Linked DNA regions of Daphnia pulex. The protein of the gene in region 2 purifies or fractionates together with the protein of the main gene of each other region. This does not show direct contact. Links are inferred from orthologs where the notes say so. Each region holds a gene or a part of one and is shown on either strand. Other genes may lie near its edges. The genes, in order: U2 small nuclear ribonucleoprotein A'-like and splicing factor 3B subunit 6-like.

Region 1 (11,847 bases), on a different chromosome or scaffold from region 2:
ACCTTTCTTCGTGTCTTACTCAAGCCACGAATGAAACACCACTGACTGTTCAGCTTTCACTGTGCGTCAAGTCTTTCGAGAATAGAGAGCCACAAGAGTACAAACGAATAGCAGACGACTAACATAAGCCCCGCCCATTCACTGTCGAAAAAGCTTAAAACTCGGCTCTCTCTCAAATTTGTAGCTTTCTTACAACCTTAAGCCAACACCACATAAAAAAAAAATAAGAAAAGTTTCTTGTTTTTTTTCTTGTTACTTATCTGTAAGAGAAAACCCGATATCTTCCATGTACTAACGAATTATGCTGTATTCATTCAACACATTTTTTATCGGTGAAGACTCCAACGATGGTATTGGATATTATCAAATACTAATGATTTATTTGTAAATATTAGTAGAATTTTGAACTTAAAACGATCAGTTCTGGATTTTCGTATAGCTGTAAGTTGTAACCTACAAACCAAGTTTGCTGCCATTATCACATCATCATGGCGGTGTTAGCTCATGATATTCCGGATGTGGTATCGGGAAAAATAGGAGTGGGCGCCAAAAATCTTACTCAAAACAACGAAACTTACGCACGGGCACGCTCGTTAATGAAAGGACACGAAACGCTCTAAATTAGATCGTCTACAGTTTCCAAGCTACTCCTAACCCGTCATGTCCGGCTGAAAATAACGCACACCCCCACATCCGCCTTCTATGCATGACTCATTCCGCAAATGGCAGATGAGCCTCTTCCGAATACACGTAGGATATACACACTATGTAGCATATCTAATTCTATGACTGAAAATTGGTTTCGCTACGCATTTTTCACAACACAGTTTTGTTAAAATGACCAAATTTAATCGCTTCTCGGTCTTTTAACTGTGACACAAATTAGACGGGCAATTTGTAATTTCAAAAATATCTTTCTGCTACCTTATTTACTCTAGGGTAGCGATATTTTTATTATCAAAGTGTAGTCCCACATTCACATTAACAGCTTGATACAAATTAATTTTTACCCGTGATGGCATTGTCATTTCTCCATGGGTTCATCTTCTTCCTCCTCCATATCTTCACCTACAACAATTCAAAAGTTTTAACAAACGAAACAAGGAAGTTGAAGACAGGATGTGAATTTACCATTTGCATTTCCGTTTTTGCTGGAGCCTTGGGTGGCTTTTCCAGGTACGACACCTGCCCTCAACATTTGGTTTAGACGTTCTACCTCTTCCAAGGTGGAGGCATTAGCAACAGCTTCTCGGATTGCACGAGCCTCCTCCGCAGATGCACCACCTACACAAAATAATTTAATAACATTTCTTAGGCTAACAAAACAAAACATTTGTGTTTTTTACCTATCGGTGCCTTATTTCCCGCTTCAGCTGAAAGAAACTTGCTTTTCTGGGCGATTTCTTTCGCCAATACTTTTCCTTTCTTTGATTTGAATAGGTCTCGGGCGGCTTCTCTCTCCTTCAAATCAAGTTTTACATGAATAAGGAGGAAAATTCCTGATGTCAGGTAGAACATTATTACCTTAAGTTTTACTTTACGAAAATCCAACACCCTCAGGCTTGGCAACTTGTTTATCACATATGAACGATAATGTTGCTTATTTGCAACAGGATTGCTCAGTAGACTTAAATAGGTGAGTTTAGAGAATTCTGCTAATGGGTCAAGGTCGCCCAACTCTTGCAGATGATTATTTGTCAGGACAAGGGTTTCGAGGTTTGGAATGACTTCACCTAATCCATCAGCAATGCGTCTACAGATTTTAAAGAATCATTTGCATGAAATTAAATTTGTGAATAATACAACAAAAAACTTACAAGATTCTGTTGTTGTTTAGGAGAAGACTTTTAATTCGTCTCAGCAAGGGAAAACCATCCAATTTCCTTATGTCATTATCTGAAAAATCTATTGTGTCAAACTGATCCTGAAAAAAGAAAACACTCCAGTAACTGTTCAGCATGATTACACTACAAATTTACTTACTAAAGTTGCTCCTAGGTTTTCAATTACAGGAATCTTGTAACCTAAAATGATGACAAAAAATAGCTGTATTTTCACGAAATATTTTTACAATTACATCACTTTTTTTAAGCCAACACAAAAAACTTTTGAACTTTAGTAACTGACTGAATGAGATTGAAGCTGAACGCCGGTTACATACCTCTTAAATCTAGTTCTCTTTCTTTGATGGCATTCGTGTACTGGTGGCTCAAGTGAATGACCTCAGCCGTCAACTTCACCATTTTCTTTTTGGCTTTTTAAACCTTAAACACGTAATTGAATTTGGGAAAAGATGCAATTAAAACTTGAACAAAATGTTTTTGCACGTTTGTAGTTGACAAATCTAGGGATATCTAAGTGACGCCATGTGCGATGTTGCAACTCATTTCCGAATACATTTCCAAACAGGAAATTAACTTTTCAAACTAAAGTTTTATCAAAGGTTTTGTGCATCTGTAGCTTTTTATCTTGAAATATAAATACTTTTCTAAACTAAAGTATTTAAATTTGTCAACAAAATTAAAAAAAATTATAAACGTTAGAAAATATATGAAAATGGCTGTGTTTTTGCCGCTAGGTTTTAAGCAGACGACAATAGCCACGAACGATTCGGCTTCCAGTAAAACTGTAAACAACTTCAAAATATTGAGTTTGTGTTGTAACTTGAAAGCAAGTTATCAACTTTGAAACAGCATTTGACATTTATCTTAAAATATCAAGTTAAAGACAGTATAAAACATGATTATTGCTGTTGAAGGGTGCGCTCATGGTGAACTTGATCAAATTTACCGGTCTGTCGAGAATTTGGCGAGGCAAAGAAATGTCAAAGTTGATTTGCTCATCTGTTGTGGAGATTTTCAAGCTGTTCGAAACGAAAGTGACTTACAATGCATGGCAGTACCTGACAAATTCCGTCATATCTGTACATTCTACAAGTATTTATTTATAATTGTTTTAGACAAATAAGAGTTTATTGTAATTGTTACTGTTTTTTTCAATATCAGGTATTATAATGGTGAATTGAAAGCACCAATTTTAACTATTTTCATTGGAGGCAATCATGAAGCATCAAACTATCTACAAGAACTTGCATATGGAGGCTGGGTTGCTCCAAATATATATTATCTTGGCTATGCTGGTGTAGTCAAGTTTGGTGGCATCAGAATAGCGGGAATATCAGGCATCTTTAAAGGACATGATTACTTGAAAGGACATTTTGAAAAACCTCCCTACACAAACAGCACTATGAGATCAGCTTATCATGTTCGTAGTCTTGAAGTATTTCGCTTGAAACAGGTAATTACATTTTGATTGTTTTAAAGATTAAAAACTTAAATGTCTTTTAATTTTCAGTTAAAAGAAGACATAGATATTTTTATTTCACATGATTGGCCTCGTGGTGTCTACAATTATGCAGATACCAGAGAACTTCTGCATTGGAAACCATTCTTTCGGTTTGAAATAGTGTTACCTAATTGTTCCAAAACACAATTCAATTTACACATTTCTTTCTTTCCCCTTCCAGTGATGAGATAGCCCAAAATGTATTGGGAAGTCAAGCTGGAGAAACATTACTTCACGAATTGAAGCCTAAACATTGGTTTGCTGCCCACCTTCATTGTAGGTTTGCTGCTACAATCCAACATAATGAAAAACAATCAACTCAATTTCTAGCACTTGATAAGTGTCTTCCAAGACGTCAGTACCTTGAAGTAAGATTTAATTCAGAATATTCTCGAAAAATTTAACAATTTAACTGTTGGGTATATCTAAAAGTTGGTGGAAATTCCACATGATTCCACCCAAAATTTGGAGTTGTGTTATGATCCGCATTGGTTAGCAATTCTTCGGTCAACTAACCATTTAATGAGTGTTCGTCCAACTACTCAGTACATGCCAAGTGGAGGTCCTGGATGCACTGAAAGGTGACACAAAAGCATTAGTTTTTATTTTTATGGATGCTGACCTTTTTTTATGTAAGATGGAACTTTAATCCAAACGAAGAAGAAATAGAACAAGTGAAAACTATCTTTGACAACGACTACAAAATTCCGTCAAATTTCTCCTTAACTGCTGAACCATTTAAGCCTCGACCAAATTACAACAGAAATGCTCAGCAAGCACAAGCGCAATTGAATCCTCAAACTACACAATTTTGCGAAAAGCTTGGTATCGACGATCCCCTCGAAAAATTGATTGGGAAACCGATTATCCTCACTGCTCCCGTAGTTAATCCAGACGAAATTGCTCTTGAAGATGACGATGAAGAAGAAGAGACAGGTGACCATACTGAGGAGGTAGCTGGGCAGGACAATGGTATATTCTTTGTCGATACCAAACCGCTGAAGAGAAGTAAAATGAGTTTACCGCAGCCGCAAAATGAAACACATGAGGAAGAACCACATACTGCGGAAAAGGAAGCTCCCTTAGGAGGGATTTTGGATGAAAACGATTCAAGTGCTAAAGTAGATGATCAAGATGTACCTACTACCGTAAAGAAATTTAAACGACGCAACCAAGAACTTTACATGGACCCGGAAAGTTCTACATAGCTTTTAAAAATTAAAAAAGAGATGACCTGATTTTTCAATAAAATCTACTTGGAAAAAATGCATATTTTGCTATCTATTTACTTCGTTTAAGTTTTTTGCCATTTTAAATTTTCCAACAGTTGTATTCTTATTTAAGTAGGTAGTTTTCAGAAGGCAAGATAGGCAGAGTACGTTTACCTTGAAACATCACAGTTGTAGCTAATATTCAAGATAGAAAAATGTTATAGCCAATATGGAATGAGCTAGATAGGAGAAGATATGAAATTAAGACAAAATAATTGTACGAATGTTTGCATATTTGCACCAATCCATCCCAACATAGTTGCAAATTCTTAGGATTTGTAGGGGAAGTTTTTTACCGGAAAATTGTATTGGACAATTTTATGTCCGTGGAATATTTAAATTAATTTCTCCGTTATGCGGGTTCTGAAAACTAAGTAAAGTAAGAATGTGTCGTTGAAATCCAATACTGGAATTTGATTGGTCATTTTGGAGTAGTGGGCCGCTCCTGTGTCATCGTAGTCAAGAATCCGTGTTTAAGTCTAGGATGTTTTCAGCACTGCTTTGAAGTTGTTCTCCTTTAATTTACGTCGAATCATAATGTTGAATGAATCGTTTACTCCTTCTCTATTATGCGAGACACGATCTATATCCATCTTGTATTGATTGCAGTACAACCTTTATTAATCATAAAAGAAGTCAATCCACTGTCTGTTTAAAAATACCAACAAGCTCATTTTAAACATACCAAACACGGAAGGTTCTGTCCTCCTAGAATTTTTAGGTCTGAGATCTGGTCCTTGTTTAATAATCTTCAAAGGTGATCTCACAGCCTTGGATGTAGATAAAAATGAGAAACCAATGGATCACTATATCGATTGGTAAACGTTAGTTGCAACTCCAAAAACTAAAATGTAGAACAAAATACCTGAAGTTAAAGTGTGTTCCGGGTGGGACAGGTGGCTGGAACGTGAGAAGAAAGCATGCAACGCACACGTTCTCCCATTCAGACTTGACATCGTTACGGACGTCGAGGACGTTTTCCTCTTATATTCAGTTTTCCTACTTCGTACACGCAGAAGGAATTAATGGTCTGAGACTTCCTGGGCCCATCCGACATGGCGACAACACCTTTCCGTCTTAGCCCTTCCACGGCTTCAAGCGGAAAACGGAATCCTCGGTCTCCAGTCGAAACTGGTGGAAGTTACGTTGCAGGCAAAAGTTGAGTTTGAGTAAGTCGAGACAGCCCTCAACGGAAAAGTATTGCCAGCACGATGTTTTCATTCCAGTGGATGTCCTCACTATGGTACAACGGCATTTTCAGCCAGTGCCTATAAGTTTGGAAGCGTGCCTTTCATGACGGGATATCTGTAATAAAAAGAATTCCAAGGGTGTATATAAAAACACAACAACCTGTACATTCTCCTGAATTACGCTCGTATTTTCAAACTATTTTTCACTCAACAAGAGCTCCATAAGGAATTGTTTGTTTTTCTTATCATCATCCGAATTGTTTGGGGGGAGGGGGGGTGGCAATTGCTTGAGGTGAGCCGCGATCATTTGCAACTCATTCGTACTGAAAATGATAAAAGTAAAATTTAATTTTTACGCCACAGGTTTTCAAGAGCAAAAAAAAGAATACCAAAGCTAATTCCATACCCAGAGTCGGGTAAGGCTTTTGAAATGTTTAGTGAGCGCTCCACGAGTAAATGATGCTGGCCACGTTGGTCGGTGCAAACTGCCTCAACTCGAGTAAAGTATTTGACAATTAGTCGAATACGGTTGATTTAAAAACGGGCGGTGGTAGACTTTTAGGATCCGTGTCCTAAAAAATTTGGTTCATTCTTTAAAACCAAGTCCCCATTTTCCATCAACTTCTTAATAAAAAGACTCGGAAAATTTTCTTTAAGTTTTAGAAGAATCTAAAACAAAAAAAAAGACAATGTTAATTCAATTTAGAATTTTCTCATCATAATTGTAAGTTTTAGTGTTGGTTTAAGGTTTTGTCTAGGAGTATGGTACACCTGGGTGGTTAGAAAACATTCCCGAATCCTAATTTAATTCTTTAAGCTACTTTTTAATTTAGGATTCCTACTAATTCTGGACAGTTTTTTTTGTAAAAAAAGTCTTGATTAACATTTGCATGTTCGACCACAGATAAAGAGTTGTTATTTATCTGTGGTTCCGACATTTTAGTACCCCCACGTGAGGTGCAATAGATTTTATCTTAACTAAACAAAGAATTAACACACACACAAATGTGAATTATGCAACCTAAAGTGTTTAGAACAGTTTACATCACTGACACATTACACAAAATTCACTACAACTTACGATTTCAGCGCAGCAAGCAATCGGAAAAAACAAGAAACAACACATCGAGATGGTAGTATAGTATGGCGCCACTTCCTACTGAAAAATGAAATAACGGGGGGAAAAAGACGTGCAGGGTTGCCATCCTTTTTAATACATTGCACTTTAAATGTGACCCCTAGATGGCGTTGAACATATTTTATTGGTTAAAAAGTGAACTTTTTTGAATTTAGAAGCAAACAACTCCACATAACATATTATCACATTAACGGTATCTTTGCCGTTGATAATTCTCCCACAACTGCTAGTCTATTATTCTTTAATCAGTATTGCCATCGCTTAAAACTTTATTAACTAGGCCTACTAGGTAGTATGTGTAAGATTGCTCAAATTCAAACCAAATATACATCAGTAATATGGTAATAATGAAAGCGCATAGAAAAGAGCGAGTGACAAACAAGACGGGTAAAGGTGACACAAATAGTAGGGCCTATGTTATTGTAGTTTAGATCTTTTCCCAAAGACTTTTTTCCCTGTATATAAGATATTACCATAACGGAAACCAGACAAAAAACAGATCCGCGATCTCCACAACCTAAGCCCAACAAAGCCTGAATAGCTAATGATTTCCTACTGTTGGTCAGCTTCAATACACCTCCAAACGTTAGATCGCAATCAACTATTCATGAGGCTCACGAATTTAGATGTATTCCTTCGAGTCTTTTGCTGCTGGAGTTGTATCTTGATTCTTGAATCCAACCAACATACACATTAACAACGCATAGACAAGGTTTCGTGCAGGTTTCGTGACACTTGTCATTTGAAAATAACCGAGTTCTACTTTATTTGACTTGTATAAGGTTTCCGGTGATGCAAGGTTATGGCTCACACTGACAAAGTGATAAACTGTAACAGGGGAGGCTATACAAATAAGTCAACTTTCCTCTACAAGAATTAGCTAGTCCAGTTTTTTATTCCGTAAAAGATTTTCATATAGGCTAGACAAAAGCCATGATCGGAATGCTATTGTATGGTTTATTATACTATACGTGGATATTTATAACGAAAACCAAGATTAAGTCAAATTTGCTTTTACATTCTGATGTCATTTTGTAGGAAATAACAATAAAACCAAGATGTTCATCTTGGTTAATATTTATCTAAGTTAAAACATTTCCGTTGTGGAATGACACTCACCAACCAGGCTGGAAATGGCGAGAAAAAACAAATGCATATCACATTGATTTCCCTATGATTCTGTGTGAAGTCGGTTACAGTATTACATTTTTATATGTAGATCACGCACATCTGTGTACGCAATCATCATCTGCATCTTAAGCGCTGCACCTGTTCTGCATAACAACGTCACATGTGACATAATAATCTTCCTGCCGCTTTATTAATTTCACAGGGGGGAAAAAGGAGAAAAGTCAAACATTTTAGAAAGTAGAAAGTCGATTGTTCTAAATTATTTAACTTCTTCAACGTAACAGTCCCTGACTACTCCACAAAACCTGGTTGGCATCTCAATTAAATGGAAAGAAAGAAAGAAAAAAACGGGTTATACGCATTTAGACGATAGGCATTTGGAGCTTGCAAGTTGCGCTCACTGTGTTTGAATGAGTGCCAGATGGTTACGGCCAACTGTACAATTCTCTTCTCAGTGGTGTGTTCATAGCATTTGTAATAGTGTTAAAGCTGTGTGTGAAGGTGGTGATGATGATCGCTGCAGTTTTATCCCAATATTTCCCCCCCCCCCTTTCAAAAGTGCCTTGATGTAATTTGGTCGTCTCTAAAGCAATAGTTGAGGAACACCCACCTGTGTGGCCACACATGCAGACCGGCCCCACGATGAGCGGTTGATTGGCTCAGCCTCTTCCGATTCTCAACGATCATCGCTACTCTCTTGCCGCATTTCTTTGTACGCTTATGCACTTCATCGCAGTGGCCAGCAAATTATGTTTTATGACGACCCAAGTCAAATCCAGAATATCTCACGGTCCCTCCACCTGGAAATGTGAAGACTGCCCATAGGGCATGCGTCCTATGGATGCTGAAAGGAAAAAGATGAAGTAAGTTGTAACGTGCGCGAAATTCCTTCAAGACAGTCGAAGACAGCCAAACAGCAGGCGGTGGGTGATTTACCGATATAATCGAATCTCATCCAGCTTTCTATATCCATTATTGTGTTGTGTTCCCATCTTTGAACAAGCTCATAGAGGAAAAGAAAGAAAGAAAAACCATAGCTGAGAAAACAACATTCTTGGTTTACAATCCGAGGATTATGACCTGCTGTTTATCGAATACAACCGAATCAAATAACCACCTGAAAAGAGTCTGGATAAGAACCTCATTGTGTGCGAATGCACCTTTATTTTTTACGTTGATCCTATGCCCGTCGGTGAGGCTGTTGTTTCTTCATCTTCTTTTTTAATATAGCGCTTTGTTTTGTTTTTATCGCATTCTGACCGGCCAATGTCGGTTTCCATTGTCCTGTCCTCTAGCATGAATTACACACTGTGAAGTATCGTATAAAAAGAATTTCGAGCCTATCGAGGGATTGAGTCCCCTGCGGTATAATAACTTGGTCTACAAGGAACTTCTCTAGGTAAATTTAAACGCAATTCAAAATTACCGCCGTCTTTTATTTTGTTTTTTTATTTTTTCAATGGCAGTTGTGCAATATTAGCAATTCAATTCTTTTCATTTCAATGGAAAATGTCAATTTAAAGAGATCAATCGATTGAAATGTCTTGGCAAATTCATTCAGAAACACCTGATTCATTTTAATTAAACTCGAGAGCGTTTCGAGTTTGTAATTCGTAAAAGGTAAGTTGTGAATCAAAACGAACGGCAAAAGTACCAACTCGTTTCTCCATGTCTTATTTTAAGCCTTTGCGACCTTCTTGTGCCCGACAGGTTGGAGAGATTTCATCGGTTCGTCAAGTTTTTATAATGTTAACGCCGAGAGAGTGTTGAGGGGACCATGGTATAAAAGAGCTGTTATTTTTATTACAACTCTAGTGCCAGGCTAAGGAATATACACACACAGTTATCTCGTAATGCTGCCAGGGGGGAAAAAAAGGTATTTTGTCAGAAAGACATGATCTTATACGCGTTGAGTTTGAATGAAATGCTTCAAAAAAGGATGGAATTCAAATACATGTTATCGTCGTTGTGTGATTTTGAAAAAGCCACGGCAGTTTAGAGTTTAACCCGTGAAAACGAGAGAGTCGAATGCTGATGGAAATGTAGTAAAGTTGCCAAGAAAGGGACCCGGAGAAAAAATCAGAGAGAGAGAGAGAGAAAATCCAGATGAATGGAAGCAGGAGCAGCAACAAGAAGCACCAAGGAGCCAACGTGTTGAATGGCTTTGGCGGCAGGTTGGTTAACGAGGTTTCAAAGTCCCCCCGAGTTGATTGATGTTAGGAGAACCTTTGCCTTTTTTTCGTACACTCGGCTGTTAGCCCTCTCTTGCTCTTTTCATTCAATGTCGTTGTTCCTTTGCCCTTCTTTGTGCCATCGCCTTCAAACCCCCAAAAGTTCGATTGAACCATCAGGAAAAAAAAATCACTACATTTCTTACAAATTTCCTTTTTGGGGCTTTTTGTACTTCGCGCTGAGAATTCTCAAAGGGCCAAAAAATATTCATTGATGATCTGGCGTTTCTCCAATAAGATGGATGTGCCGATTTTTCTTTCAAACAATTCAAGTTGCCAACAATATAAACTATCTAGGCCGTTTGGCAGGTGATTCTTCAATCATATTCATTTGAATCAGTTGCTGCCAAGTTGCTAGATATCCCTTCATCGGCTTGGACGCTGAATGTACACTCCGGAATTATAACCGGAATTAGAAATAAATGTGTATGTTGGCCAGCATCGTACAACAAAACAAGTGGTTGAGATACAGTAGACTCTAAATAAGTAAATAAGGTTTCCTGAACTTGACCCATGTTCGAGTCTCAACCGACGCATTAGAATTGGAAGACATAGAAAGAGTCAAAGAACCCTTTCTTTTTTGGCACGGCTAAAAAGGCTTAAATTAAGTTTTGACAAAACAGCAGCACAGTGTTAGAAAAACACACTCCATACATTCAGCGAGATGAACATGAATGAATTTTTGTTTTTCTTTTTTTTTTTTTTGAGCTAGCGACCCATTTGCACAGTTGACTGTGTGTGGATATAATGAAATACAACCGCCTACTAATTAGCCGAGGGCAGCGAAATGGAGAAATGGAGCAGAGCCCTGTCGCGCACAGCCCCGAATGGTATTGTTCTTTATATATATTTATGGTCGACTTCCTGTGCCAACGACGAGTCTATATACGTGTGTGTGTATATACGAAAAGTGCCAAACGACTAGCAGACTTGTTTGACGTGTGGGGAGGAAGGGAAACCGCAATGTTCCATGACAGATCGTCTCTCAAGTCTCCGCTCACACATAGGCAGGCATATGTGTGCGCAGTCAATGTGACCATCTAGGCACATCAGTGCTGGGAAACGGGGAGGAGTTTCAACTCTTTGCAAACCCAAAATGTTTCAGAGAGTCTCCAGAGATGCAATAAAAACGATCTCGAGGGTTCGAAAAAATAGACTGAAAACAAATCCTTCGTATATATATACATTGGCGATGGAGAATGATGATATACTTTACTGCACAATTTTACATTTTTTCCATCAATTTCTGCTGGACCCTCTCTCTGGAGTCTTGTCCTCTCAACGAAAATCCCAAGTCTCTAAAATATAAAATCGAGTTGGCGATGAGAAGAAGCAGGAGGTGCCGGATTTGAATTTCGAGTGATAATCAAATACCAAAATAGAGACGGGATGTGCAATTTGCTGCTGGGAGGTGGGAAGCAAAACCAAGGAAAAGAATTAGGATAGCGGCGGTGATGGCCAGAGCAGTTCCCGCCTTTCACTTGGGGCCGCCACCAGTGAATGAAGTGGTAATCCTCAGGTAGTGTAGTTCTGTTGTTTCA
Region 2 (11,427 bases):
AGTTCATTCAGTTGGCGATCACGGACTGGCGACAGTGGGCTAGTATCATTGCCCCGAACTAAATCGACCACGACATTGTATTCAGCTGAAATGGCAGTATTTAATAAAGCATCCATGGTCTGCAAGTTTATATTAAAGGCATCGGCTACGCTCATGGATTGACTACGCATCCCGCCATTGGCGGTAGACGGAGAGCTGTCACTTGGGCAATCCTCCGGAGGAGACATTTCAAGCATTCTTCCTATATTGCGAGAAAACAAGTCAAACGTTGATGACACTGTGAAGGGGAAAACCGAGCAAATACTTATTTATACCTCTGTTTTCTGGTGTCAATTGTTGGTGATTACTTATCACTGTTATTGTCGCTTTGTTCGAAGAGGCAGGGCTTTCATGAAATCCCTCGGAAGAGTTGTCCAAGGGACTTGTAGTGACATCTGAATCAGAGAAACTTGATTCTGCTTCAGATTTAATATCACTTTTTCTCTGGTTTGCTCTGCTTCCACCACCATTTAAGAGATGAATAAGTTGTTTGGAGTTGATCTTTGTATTATTTGTCCTCCCAGGTTTAGTTTTCTTCATTCGATTTTCTTCAATCTTCCTTCTCTTTACTGTTCGTTCTTCTTCAGACATGATAAATTCCTTCTTCATTCCAATATCAAGGCACTTTTTAAGCCTGCACTTTTGGCAAAATCTTCGTGTCACAGCATCTATTTTACAATTGTTTTCAAATGGGCAACGGAATTCCTGGAAGAAAGTAAGAATGGCAAGTTCATAGCAACACAAATAATGAGATGTATATTTATTTTCAATGTACCTTTCCTTTAAGGGCATTGCGTCTAAAGAAGGCTTTGCAAGATTCACAGGTAGTTGCACCAAAGTTACACCCTAAAGCCTTTAACCATGCAATAAAACATTCTTGAATTAGTGCCTCAACAGAAAAATAGTAGGAAGCATAATATAGTACATACCTTGTCTCCACACACTCCACAAACTTTCCCAGACATCGAGGCATGGAGTTCACCTGGGCTGGTACAAGCATTGCTGAGAGGAGATACTGGTGTATTGGGAGAGGTTAGCGATACGTACTCTTCCATGTTTTGTAGGTTGTTATTTTTAATAACGAGAGATGAAACTAGGAAGACAATTCATCCATGAGAACGTGCATTAAAGGATCTCCGTTCAGAGGAATCTTAACACTGATTGCTGTGTTGATCAACAGCTTAAATTTCACTCATCTTTATGAAACTAATTCTTGTTATTGACAAGCGGTAAAACTGTTTAAGATTATTACTGGGCAAATCTGAATTATTTACACTAATTTAAAGAACACACACCTATTGTTAAATTAGTCAGTCTCAGATCCATCGAAATTATTGATGAATATAGGAGAGGTTGCCAAGTTGGTCAACGTTCCAGTAATATAAATTTTTTTTTTTAAATGCTGGACAACAGACAAGGCGACAAGCCGGACAATAAGAGCGACTATTATTACGACTTTAAATGCTTCGAATCTTACCACGAATGCGTACAAAAAGCTCGTTGAAGGGTGGATTTTGCTTTCCTCAGCGCAAGATAAGAAAATGCGGAAGACAAAGTACACATCGAATCTTATAACCTTTGACTAGTAGTTTTCAAATCAGGAAGAGGAAACGTATCTAGACCATTAATGCTTATCTGTGATTTATACTCTTTAAGGTTAGATTCTCATACTGGGTTTATCGTCTCGTCAGAATCAGGAAATAAAACAATATTCTAAAATACTATCCCAATACAAACTGTAATAGCCCCGAGTGTTATGACGATTATACAATTTCGACATATTTAATAAACTGTGGTCAAAAATCTGGTTCGTTAAGAAACAACAATAAAGACCCAAATTTTGTACAGAAAAATCAATGTCAACTGGAAGAGAGATACGTATAAATCTACTGTTCTTTTTGGTTTTGTTGGCTGCCATCGGCACTTAAAGAGATGGTAGAAGAAGGAAATGCTCAATAAATATGAGCAACTACACTAAATATGAGAAATTAAACATTGTTGTCTGAGCTGAGAATGTGTGCTGGAATTTCCTTGGCAGAAAACAAAATCTAGCAGTATCTTTGAACTTGCATGTCATTTTCTAATGACTAATTAAGAGTCACCCTCCTTTGGAGGTAGGCATGTCGGTTGTATATGCACGAGTCTCAATAAACAACCAACGGCACCAAAGTAACCCTAATAAATGTAATTACATTTTAATAACGTAAACGATTACGAAATCATTTTGCATTACCTCGTGCTCAAGAAATAGAGCTTTTAAAGCTCCATCGGACCAAAAATCCATTGCATAGGCGAGCTGCTTCATCGAAAGAGTATTGACTCGCAGAAAGTTGCCAACAAACACTACCTGGTAAACCCAAAAAACAACAGAATTAATACAAGTTTAAGCTTATTTGACCAGCAACATACTCTTTCAATTTTTTCATTCAGTGCACACATCCGCGTAATGGACCCGATGTTGTTTGTAATGGTTACAAGCGTCGCACGGGCTAAATCTGCTTTGGTTACTTCGGCTCTTCGATCAGATAAGTTCATTTGACCGAAACTGCTTGCAACAATGTTGCCATCCAACCCGAATCGGTCATAGTCTCCACCGTAAATGTCTCGGACTTTCTTATCAACCTTCGTTGAGTCACCAGCGGCAGCGAGCGCGATAGCTTCTTCATAAGACTGGCATCCGGTAAGCAAGCAGCATAATCCCAAGAAAGTTCCACCACCCAAGCTATGCAAAACATTCAAAGAGCTGTGAGATTAATCTTGAGAGTTTTTTTTTTGGTTTTCTATGCGTTGTTTTACCTGGTACCGGTGACTCGTTTGAAATTATTTGGGCCATACACAGCAAGTATACTCACACCTGAACCAATATTTACTAGCTAGAAAATAAAATCAGATGAAAGTAACAACAACAGAATTAAAGTCATTTGTTTGTTAATAAAGTTTTTAAATGATGGAATTACCAAAAACGGATATGGGTTCTTGAAGTCATATGTTTTTTTTACGCACTTAGTTTCGTCAGTTGGATTTTCCCAATAATAAACCTCGGGACGATGAATTTCTTCAATGTACAAGAGCCCACCGATAAGGGATTCCAGTTCGTCCGATTTATGTAGATTTAAATTAACAGCCTACAGACAACCGTATAACAAGATAAGAAAAAAGAAAAAGAAATCAAAGCTGCATAAAGTGTACAAACCCTTAAAAAGTCTTTTTCAAACTTGTATGCACCTCCACCTGTGGCACAAATGGTTGTGGACAGAGAGGCAAATCCTTTAGATTTTGCTAGCTGCAGAAATTGCTCCATTTCAGAGGTAGGAAATCTGATGAAATGTAATGTTCCTACTCTGTTTCCCATTGGAATTGAACTCATCTGAAATTTGAAAATTATACTGAAATCAATTTCTGATAAAATAGGAAAGATTAGAAGATGTAAACACCTGCAGATGAATGTCTCGGTGCCCTGTCTCTCCATAAGCATTGTTACTAGTGAGATACTTTTGAATGTTGTGTAAGGTTTCAATTTCTGACGAACTTACATTCTCTTCCTCAGGAGCAATGTCAGTTGGTTCAAAATACACTAATTTAACTAAAGTTCCACCTATATCCATTCCAAACCAGGGCATGCTAGCTGTAGAATAAAAATAATTGTTTATTATCACAACTAATTGATTAAAAATAACAATACTTACGAGAATGAACAACTGTGGAACTTGAATCATGGCCATTTGTTACCCTGTTTTCTACACTATCCATTGTGCGACCATATTGTGTTTCGTGATCAGAAGACATCTGTTAATGTGCAGAATTTCAATGTGCTTTCTTTAGTTATATCCCAGCAATTCTTTATTGTATGCACAGCACCGGATGAAGCTTAAAAATCCCTTTATTTAATTGATATCGGAAGTAGCGAATCAGTTCAGTTTACGCGACTCGAATAGTGGCCATCTGCATCATATCTTGATATTCGAACCAATAGAAAAAGGAATTCGGGTCGTACGATGTGGAAACTTTTCCCCTTTCCTTTTCTCTTATTTGAGTATGCTATTCCTCATTTGACACAAATTCGTCTGCTAAAACATCAGCATTGCCAAAATATTAAAATGTGAAGAGTAAATTGAGCTAGGAAAAGATTTTTATGAGATATATATACATTTTTTTAGTATTTAATTTGAATCAAATTTTCTAGTGCATAAAACCAATTAATTGAATTACACGAAAATAATGTTTTGTTTATTCTGTCAGCTCAGAATCGTCGTCTGCTATGCAGCCATTTTGAATACCAAGCGGCGTTCTTATTGTCAAGTTCACGAGCACAGTTTTGAATTGTATTGATCAGTGATTTCGTTGTTTTAACTGAATTTTACTCCTAACAATGGCGATGGCAATGCAGAAAAAGCTAAACGTATGCAATCATGTGTTAATTTTTTTTTATCATTAGTAGTTTATTATATTGAGTCAAGATTGTTGTGCATCAAGATTTCCATGTGAGCATTTCTTAAATATTTTTATTTTTCAGGTGAGGTTACCTCCTGAAGTAAACAGAATCCTATATGTCCGAAATCTTCCCTATAAAATTACATCAGAAGAAATGTATGATATCTTTGGAAAATACGGAGCTATTCGGCAAATCAGAGTGTAAGTAGAAATTGATAATATATGTTAGCATCAATTGTAACTCATTTGATTTGATAGAGGGAACACTCCAGAAACCAGAGGAACAGCTTTTGTGGTCTATGAAGACATTTTTGATGCAAAAAATGCTTGTGATCATCTTTCTGGTTTTAATGTCTGCAATCGTTACCTTGTAGTACTCTATTATCAACCTACAAAGGCCTTCAAAAAGGTTGACACAGACAAGAAGAAAGAAGAGATAGAAAGCATGAAGGCTAAATTTGGATTGAATGATGAATAACATGTAAATTGACCTCATTTCTCATTGTACAATTTGGTATAATAAAAAAACCATTTTCACTATGTGAATTGTAACCAGTATTGACCCTTTTCCAACCAGTGTAATTGTGAGGTATTCCATTGTAATGGAATATCAAATATGATTTGCACGAGTTATTACAACTCAAAAATGTTTTTTCTAAAAAGAATATTCACGAAATATCCGGCTTTCAAGAATAACAGATTTGTAGGCACAGTAAACAGACAAACAATTGCACTGCAGCTACTGAACACAAAATTATTTTCAAGCCAGTTTTACTGGGACTTCATGGAGACCAATTTTCGACTTCTGTGCTTTGATTCGCTCCGGTGAGATGTATATTCAAACCAGATAATGTTAGGGATTAATGTTTGATCTCTCACCAATAGCCATTCACACACTCTCCTAAGAAATAACAATGAATATTGCATGTTATCGGCATGGAAACACTTTTGAGGAAAACTAACCATGATGCAACAGTTGGGAACCACGGCGTTAGAGCGAATTGCGTAAATAAGAACCACGAAACTGCTAAAACAGATCCAAGTAATCCCCCTACTATTACTTGGGAAGCAGTGTGGTACTGAAGATAAATCCTAATAATGAAGCAAGAGAATTAAGTATTTTTTTTCACTTAAGTAAAATAAACAAAGAATTAGAATAAAACCTTGCTATGGCAACAATGATAGATGCAACAAGGCATGCTACTGAGATGGCAGTTTTCCAGATGCAAATCCATATGGTATTTGTGTAGCTAATGTGTCTCAAGCGTACCCAAATAAAAAGGAACATGTAGGTAGTAAAAAACCACATGAACTGGCTGTGAGATGATGGCATTCCATACTCATGTAAGAGGCTAGGTCTAACTAATGGTCTTCCCTGACGAAGAGTATGTTTGAGCACTAAAATTTAAAAACATAAATGTATGTGGGTTTTAACAGAAATTGGGAAGAAATAATACCGTAATTAATGCCTTCATTTAACACCAGTCCTAAGAGGTATGATATCTACAAAAAAGAACAAAGTTTAAAACATTCACAAATTTAGAATTCCACGCACATGTGAATACTGATTTACCGTATGCAAATCTCTTCTAAACAATATCAATGTTATAAAACTGACAATAAGGGCATGAGGAACCATAGAAGAAAACGCTAGCAGTTTTCCAATGAGATCACCTACATGATAGAATCAGAATTCAATAATAATGAGAAGCCACTAAAAAACTAAAATTACACAAAATAACCTTCAGGATATTCTGCTGTGATACTTAATGGAATCCATTTTATGTTTGAATGTATGTTATTTGTTTCTGGATCCTCCATTTTCAAAAGGCAACACAATGTAAATAAACCATGTAATGTCGAAAACCTTGGCAACGTATTACCGGTGTAAGTCGTTTAAAGGGGCGAGTTGCCAAATCAACAAAAATAATTGCACTTAATGTCGCTTTTTTTATATATGAACTTAATTATGCCAAAGACTACTCGTTTGTAAATAAACTAGTTGAAATAAACAGAAAAGTAATATACAAATAATGAATTACATTAAACTAGGGCTCGCGTTGCAAGCGTTGGCCTTCGGCTAAGTGACAGAGCTATCTTGGAAGAATTTTGGAATTAGGCAGTCTTGTTCTTGTGCTTCATTTTCTTGTCGTTATTTTTTATTTTACTCTGTAATTTTTTATTTTATTGTACTCTGTATACTCTTCTACTTTTTTAAAACACTGACCATAAAAAAAAAAAGAACGACGTTGCATTTATAAATTTTCATTTCGACAAAAATAAACAAATAAGGAAGAAGGACAAATTAACATTTTTAGCGGAAGTAAAATAAACTTTTTGTCTGGGAATTCCAAACCTGGTCGGTATATACCTCATTTCTCGAAGTTTGGTGATACTTGATGAATACACTTTTCTGCCGTGTAATCAACCTCAGCTTCGGTGGTGAATCGCCCAATTCCAAATCGAATAGAAGAATGCGCCAAATCTTCTTCAGCGCCAATGGTCCGCAAAATATATGAAAGTTCCAGCAATGCTGAGGTGCAAGTACTTCCGCTTGAGAGTGCCACGTCTTACGTAATAAAAAGAATTAGTTAAAATGAAAGGTAGTGGAAGTTGCCTTTAAAGTTACCTTTCAGGGCCATGAAAAGACTTTCTCCCTCGACGTAGGCGAAAGAAAGGTTTACACAACCTGGGTAGGAGTGTTCAGGATCTCAATTTCGTACGACATGTGTTAAACTATTACCAATCTGATCGATCAAGCGTTGCGATAGTTAACTAATCTGGCATGATTATACTAAAACATGGTTTTGATCAATTAGTTATGTATGGATACTACTATGACATGAACTAAAACCTTAAGTTCTTGCTGAGCTACTTCACATGCTGCGCCAAAACCAACTGTCACTCTGTCAGTGGAGTAGGAACTGTTCCACCACGTATCCCTCATTCCTGACCACCTCCACTTTGCAGAGCTTCAATCCTAACCCGTGGTCGGCCTATCACGTAAAGAGCACCAACACCTTTTGTTCAAGTTCAAGAAAATAATGATGCGAAAAAAGAGTGAATTACATCGAAATAACAATCATATATTAAATTGTAAAATACCTTTATAAATCAATTGACATCGATTCAACATCAATTGGAATTTTACCTAGAGCTTGGGCTCCATCACAGTGGAAAAACACTTTAGCTTTTCGACACATAGCATCTAATGATGAAAAAATTATGTATAGAAATAGAACATTAGACTCTACAATGATTATGTGTGTGTCTCACCTATTTCTGCTATGGAATAATTTGCCATGTCAGGAAGCATTGCAACTAATACCCTTGTAAGTATCGACTCTAGCCACAAGTTGGTAACTGGAAGTTGGTCACTGGAAGTTGGTCACTGGAAGTTGGTCACTGTAAGTTGGTCACTGTAAGTTGATCCATGCTACATTTACTCCTGTAGAACAAATTCAGTTTAAAGATTAAACTTTTCTGCATCTGGGCGATTACGAATTACCAGTTGTAAACATGTAGTTTGGCACAGGTGGGTTGGCACTGTTTCGATATACTGAAGAACATGCTGAGTTCCTGAAATGACTTAATTTAGTAAGAGACCAATTATTTAACTGTTGACACAAGTTGCTGAATGTTTAATCGTTTTTTTTTCAATGGAAGCAACTGTTGGTATGTGTCTGTGGACTAGGACTAGGACATAACAAAAAGCTGAATGAATACAGTGAAACTTGGGAATACCGAAACATTAAATATTAACTTAAATAAAATTCGGAAGTAAACGCCAATTTTTGTTAGGCATGGAAAACATTTTGAATTACTTTTCCTTTGATAATATAATACACGAATCTTCGAATGCATTCTAAATCTGTTGTTTGTTTACATTTACATTTCTATCACAAAAACTACCCCTGGGTATCCACGCAATTCCATTTTCAGGTTTCGGCGGTGACTGAAAAATGTGGGACCGTGAGTTGAAAATCGCGTGGCAGGGAGTATAGGCTTCACTGAATTTCCGATTTTATATCGATCGGTAAATCGAGACGGGAGCCAATAGCAAGGCCAGATTTCGGTCACGTGGGGGTAGTTTTTCTCTCTAAGCTCCGCCTTTTCCCATTTCCTTCCAGGGAGACTTTTGAGCTCTACGGGAACCCTGTTAAGGCCCTCGGCAGGCTAAAGCCTTAGCCTCAGGGATCAATAATACTAATAAACACAGTTCGTTTTTCAATCATGACATCGAAGATTCGAAATGCTCAGCTCATCTCATCGGATTTAGGGACAATGATAGCTGAGATCACCTGATGGCAAAAAATATGACCCCATAAGTGATGCATATCTTGTGTCGAATAAACCTAATAGAATGTAATATGTATAAGAAAAAATAGCAAATCATGATAACTCATACGCTGGAAGAGTGATGTCGGATAAGTGTTGCCATTTGCGCTTTGAAGTCATCTAGCTCTCTTGTCTAAAAGAAGAATAAGAAGCACAAGAAGAAGTGGGAAAAAAGATGAGCTGTTTGGGACTGACGACATTTAAAATCATGACTCAGATAAAATTCTTCGAACCAGTAAAAAATCCATCGCACAAGTAGCCAATATCTAGTCAAGGTGCGGTACAAAAGGCGTAGAGTAGGTGAAGGGTGAGGTTAAGCGTAGGTTGCATTGGAATTTTCGTCGTGGGAAGGACAAATGAACGCAAAGCTTAAGTACATTACATTAAGAATGTAAAATATGTATTCATTAAAAAAGCCTCAGTCGTCTCATTGCTTTCGCCAATCAACAATTGGAATTTAAGAGGAGCTGTAATACCAGTGTGATACGTCAGAGCGCCTATGATCTGCTGCAAAAGTCAAATTATTCTTTCGAGTTCTATTTCGTAGCCATGACTCTAACCACTATGACCCGAAGAAAGTAAAGCCCCAGAGCGCTCACTCACGAATTTGTGTTGGATAGTATTACTTTTTTATATTAAAACACTGATTTAATACCACTCCCTTCAATTGTTTTTTGTTCTTCCACTCCTATCACGTCAGCCGATTTCATCACTGAAGAATCTAAAAGGTTGCCACGAAATTTCAGCAACCCACGTAAACTCGCTGCCTACGGCAGTTTTGAATGTTTTTGTTATCCTTTTTGGTAGTTGTATTTACCTTGCTCGAAGTGTTATTACTTTCAATGACGTAACTAAGCCACTCCCTTTATCGGTGACGTCTAGAACACGTCTAAAAATACATGTTATTTAAGGTTAAAACAATAAATCCAGGGATTTTCCTTGGTCAACTAATCCGTTTAGTAATAACAGAAGTCCCGGGAGAAGTCCCATGTCGAAACGATATAGTTTGTTGATGAACTAAAAATACGTCTCAAACTTTTCTGCATACTTGCCCTTTCCTAAAACTAGAAAAAATCATTAATACGAAATTTAGGACCACAAGTTTCGAAAACACTTCTCCACCACTCTTTTTGAACAATATTCAACCTAATTCCACGATTTTACCTACAATATTACGTCATGTAATTCGTACTTTCAAAATAGTTGAAGGGCACATTTATTTTTGAAATTCTTAGCCACGAAAATTCAGCCAGTTTCAGAAGATTCCGAGAAAGAAAAAAAAAGAAGTGACGGTATTCAAACATGAAACGCGCTAATAAAAAAAAGAATTCCACAAAAAACAAAGGACAGGCGTCAGGCCACTTAATGTCCATATTTTTGGAATTCCCATTCGCGATTATCCAATGGGCATACCTGACGAGTCTTCAGCCAGCGAGAAATACAATGGAAGTGGAAGGCATGCTGTAAATCAAAAGAATTTTTTGAATATGCTTTTCATCTCTGAGGAACTAAAAGGAATATAAATCAATATTCACTTACATTGCAGACACCCCAGGCAACTGTGCATTCTTCACTAGTAGCTGAAGCCTGATTGGCTTGACATTCAATGCAGAGGTCCATAATGTGATTACGACAAATAGCACAGTTGTCGACAACAATATCTAAGAACAGTGATTAGAAATCAGCACATATAACAAGTTAGTGACAATAGTTTAATTTACCCCAAGCCCACAAGGCAACTGCATTCCACTAAAAAAAAGGGACATCAAATATTTAATTATTTGTATTATTAATAAAATTTCAGATAAATATGTTACCTTCTTCACTTCAAAGCGTTTTCTATCACCCTTTACATTGGATGATGAAGGCTGTTCTACTTCTTCCTCATCCACATCCATACCAGGAGCATCATCAGCCATCTGATATAAATAAAATAAATTAAACAACAGTGCCTTCAAACAAAGTGGATCAAGCTATTAATAGATTGCTCATAAATTAAGATCAAATTAGTCCAAGAAACAATCAAAAACACATGTAATTGATTAAAATTCTTCCACATCCCAACACCAATCCAATCCATATTTTAAACAAGTCTTTCCTTCTGATTAGTTAAGCAAGCCAGAAATGCTGGTTAACATTTACCTCGTATTATGTTAGATAATCACACAGAAATTTAAATGTTGTTTTTATTGAAATGAGGGACTCGTAACAACTTTTGGTTCCTCAGTTATGCCATAGCCTACTTTATTATAGGAAGCCCAACGGTTTGGGCTTTTTTTGGAAGCCAATTTGGGTTCCCTTCCTCTTATTTGGCTCCGCCCTAAGTGGACCCACGGGAGCCAATTTATCGTCTAGTGGCGATATTTGAAAACACGGATTCGTTTACGTTTCTATCGATATGATTGTTAAATGGCTACGAAGGGCCATTCACTAAACAATAATGTCCACAGTTCCATGTAACATTGTCATGAAATCCTCAAATCCCTCACGGCAACATATTAATGGTGCGTTCATAAATTACAGGGTTCCCCCCAAACCATAACATTCGAAATTTCGGAGGGCGTGTCATTATTTCGCTCACCAGATGGCCCCCCTGGGTCCACTTGGAAGATGCGAAAT

Evidence for each region.
Region 1: the proteins of splicing factor 3B subunit 6-like (region 2) and U2 small nuclear ribonucleoprotein A'-like purify together in Homo sapiens (affinity purification with mass spectrometry; 5 studies listed by BioGRID and IntAct, with this or other methods). This does not show direct contact. The link is inferred for Daphnia pulex from reciprocal best matches to the Homo sapiens genes SF3B6 and SNRPA1.

What each region holds. Positions count from the first base shown.
Region 1 is NC_060021.1:10,325,364-10,337,210, forward strand, and holds U2 small nuclear ribonucleoprotein A'-like, read right to left. Parts: upstream 2,387-11,847; 5' UTR 2,244-2,386; coding exon 2,162-2,243; intron 2,025-2,161; coding exon 1,984-2,024; intron 1,925-1,983; coding exon 1,818-1,924; intron 1,754-1,817; coding exon 1,525-1,753; intron 1,462-1,524; coding exon 1,347-1,461; intron 1,285-1,346; coding exon 1,132-1,284; intron 1,069-1,131; coding exon 1,025-1,068; 3' UTR 895-1,024; downstream 1-894. Other genes in the region: lariat debranching enzyme B-like, read left to right, coding at 2,740-2,936, 3,006-3,297, 3,355-3,455, 3,527-3,713, 3,778-3,926, 3,983-4,553. UniProt on the Homo sapiens protein: Involved in pre-mRNA splicing as component of the spliceosome. Associated with sn-RNP U2, where it contributes to the binding of stem loop IV of U2 snRNA.
Region 2 is NC_060019.1:12,847,609-12,859,035, reverse strand, and holds splicing factor 3B subunit 6-like, read left to right. Parts: upstream 1-4,278; 5' UTR 4,279-4,408; coding exon 4,409-4,438; intron 4,439-4,552; coding exon 4,553-4,671; intron 4,672-4,728; coding exon 4,729-4,948; 3' UTR 4,949-5,010; downstream 5,011-11,427. Other genes in the region: nuclear hormone receptor HR96-like, read right to left, coding at 1-241, 315-744, 815-892, 969-1,132, 1,335-1,365; pantothenate kinase 3-like, read right to left, coding at 2,131-2,214, 2,273-2,386, 2,449-2,761, 2,836-2,912, 2,997-3,164, 3,233-3,406, 3,474-3,664, 3,726-3,825; dolichyldiphosphatase 1-like, read right to left, coding at 5,242-5,371, 5,434-5,562, 5,634-5,868, 5,928-5,973, 6,044-6,144, 6,213-6,291; RING-box protein 1A, read right to left, coding at 10,171-10,269, 10,348-10,469, 10,530-10,557, 10,626-10,727.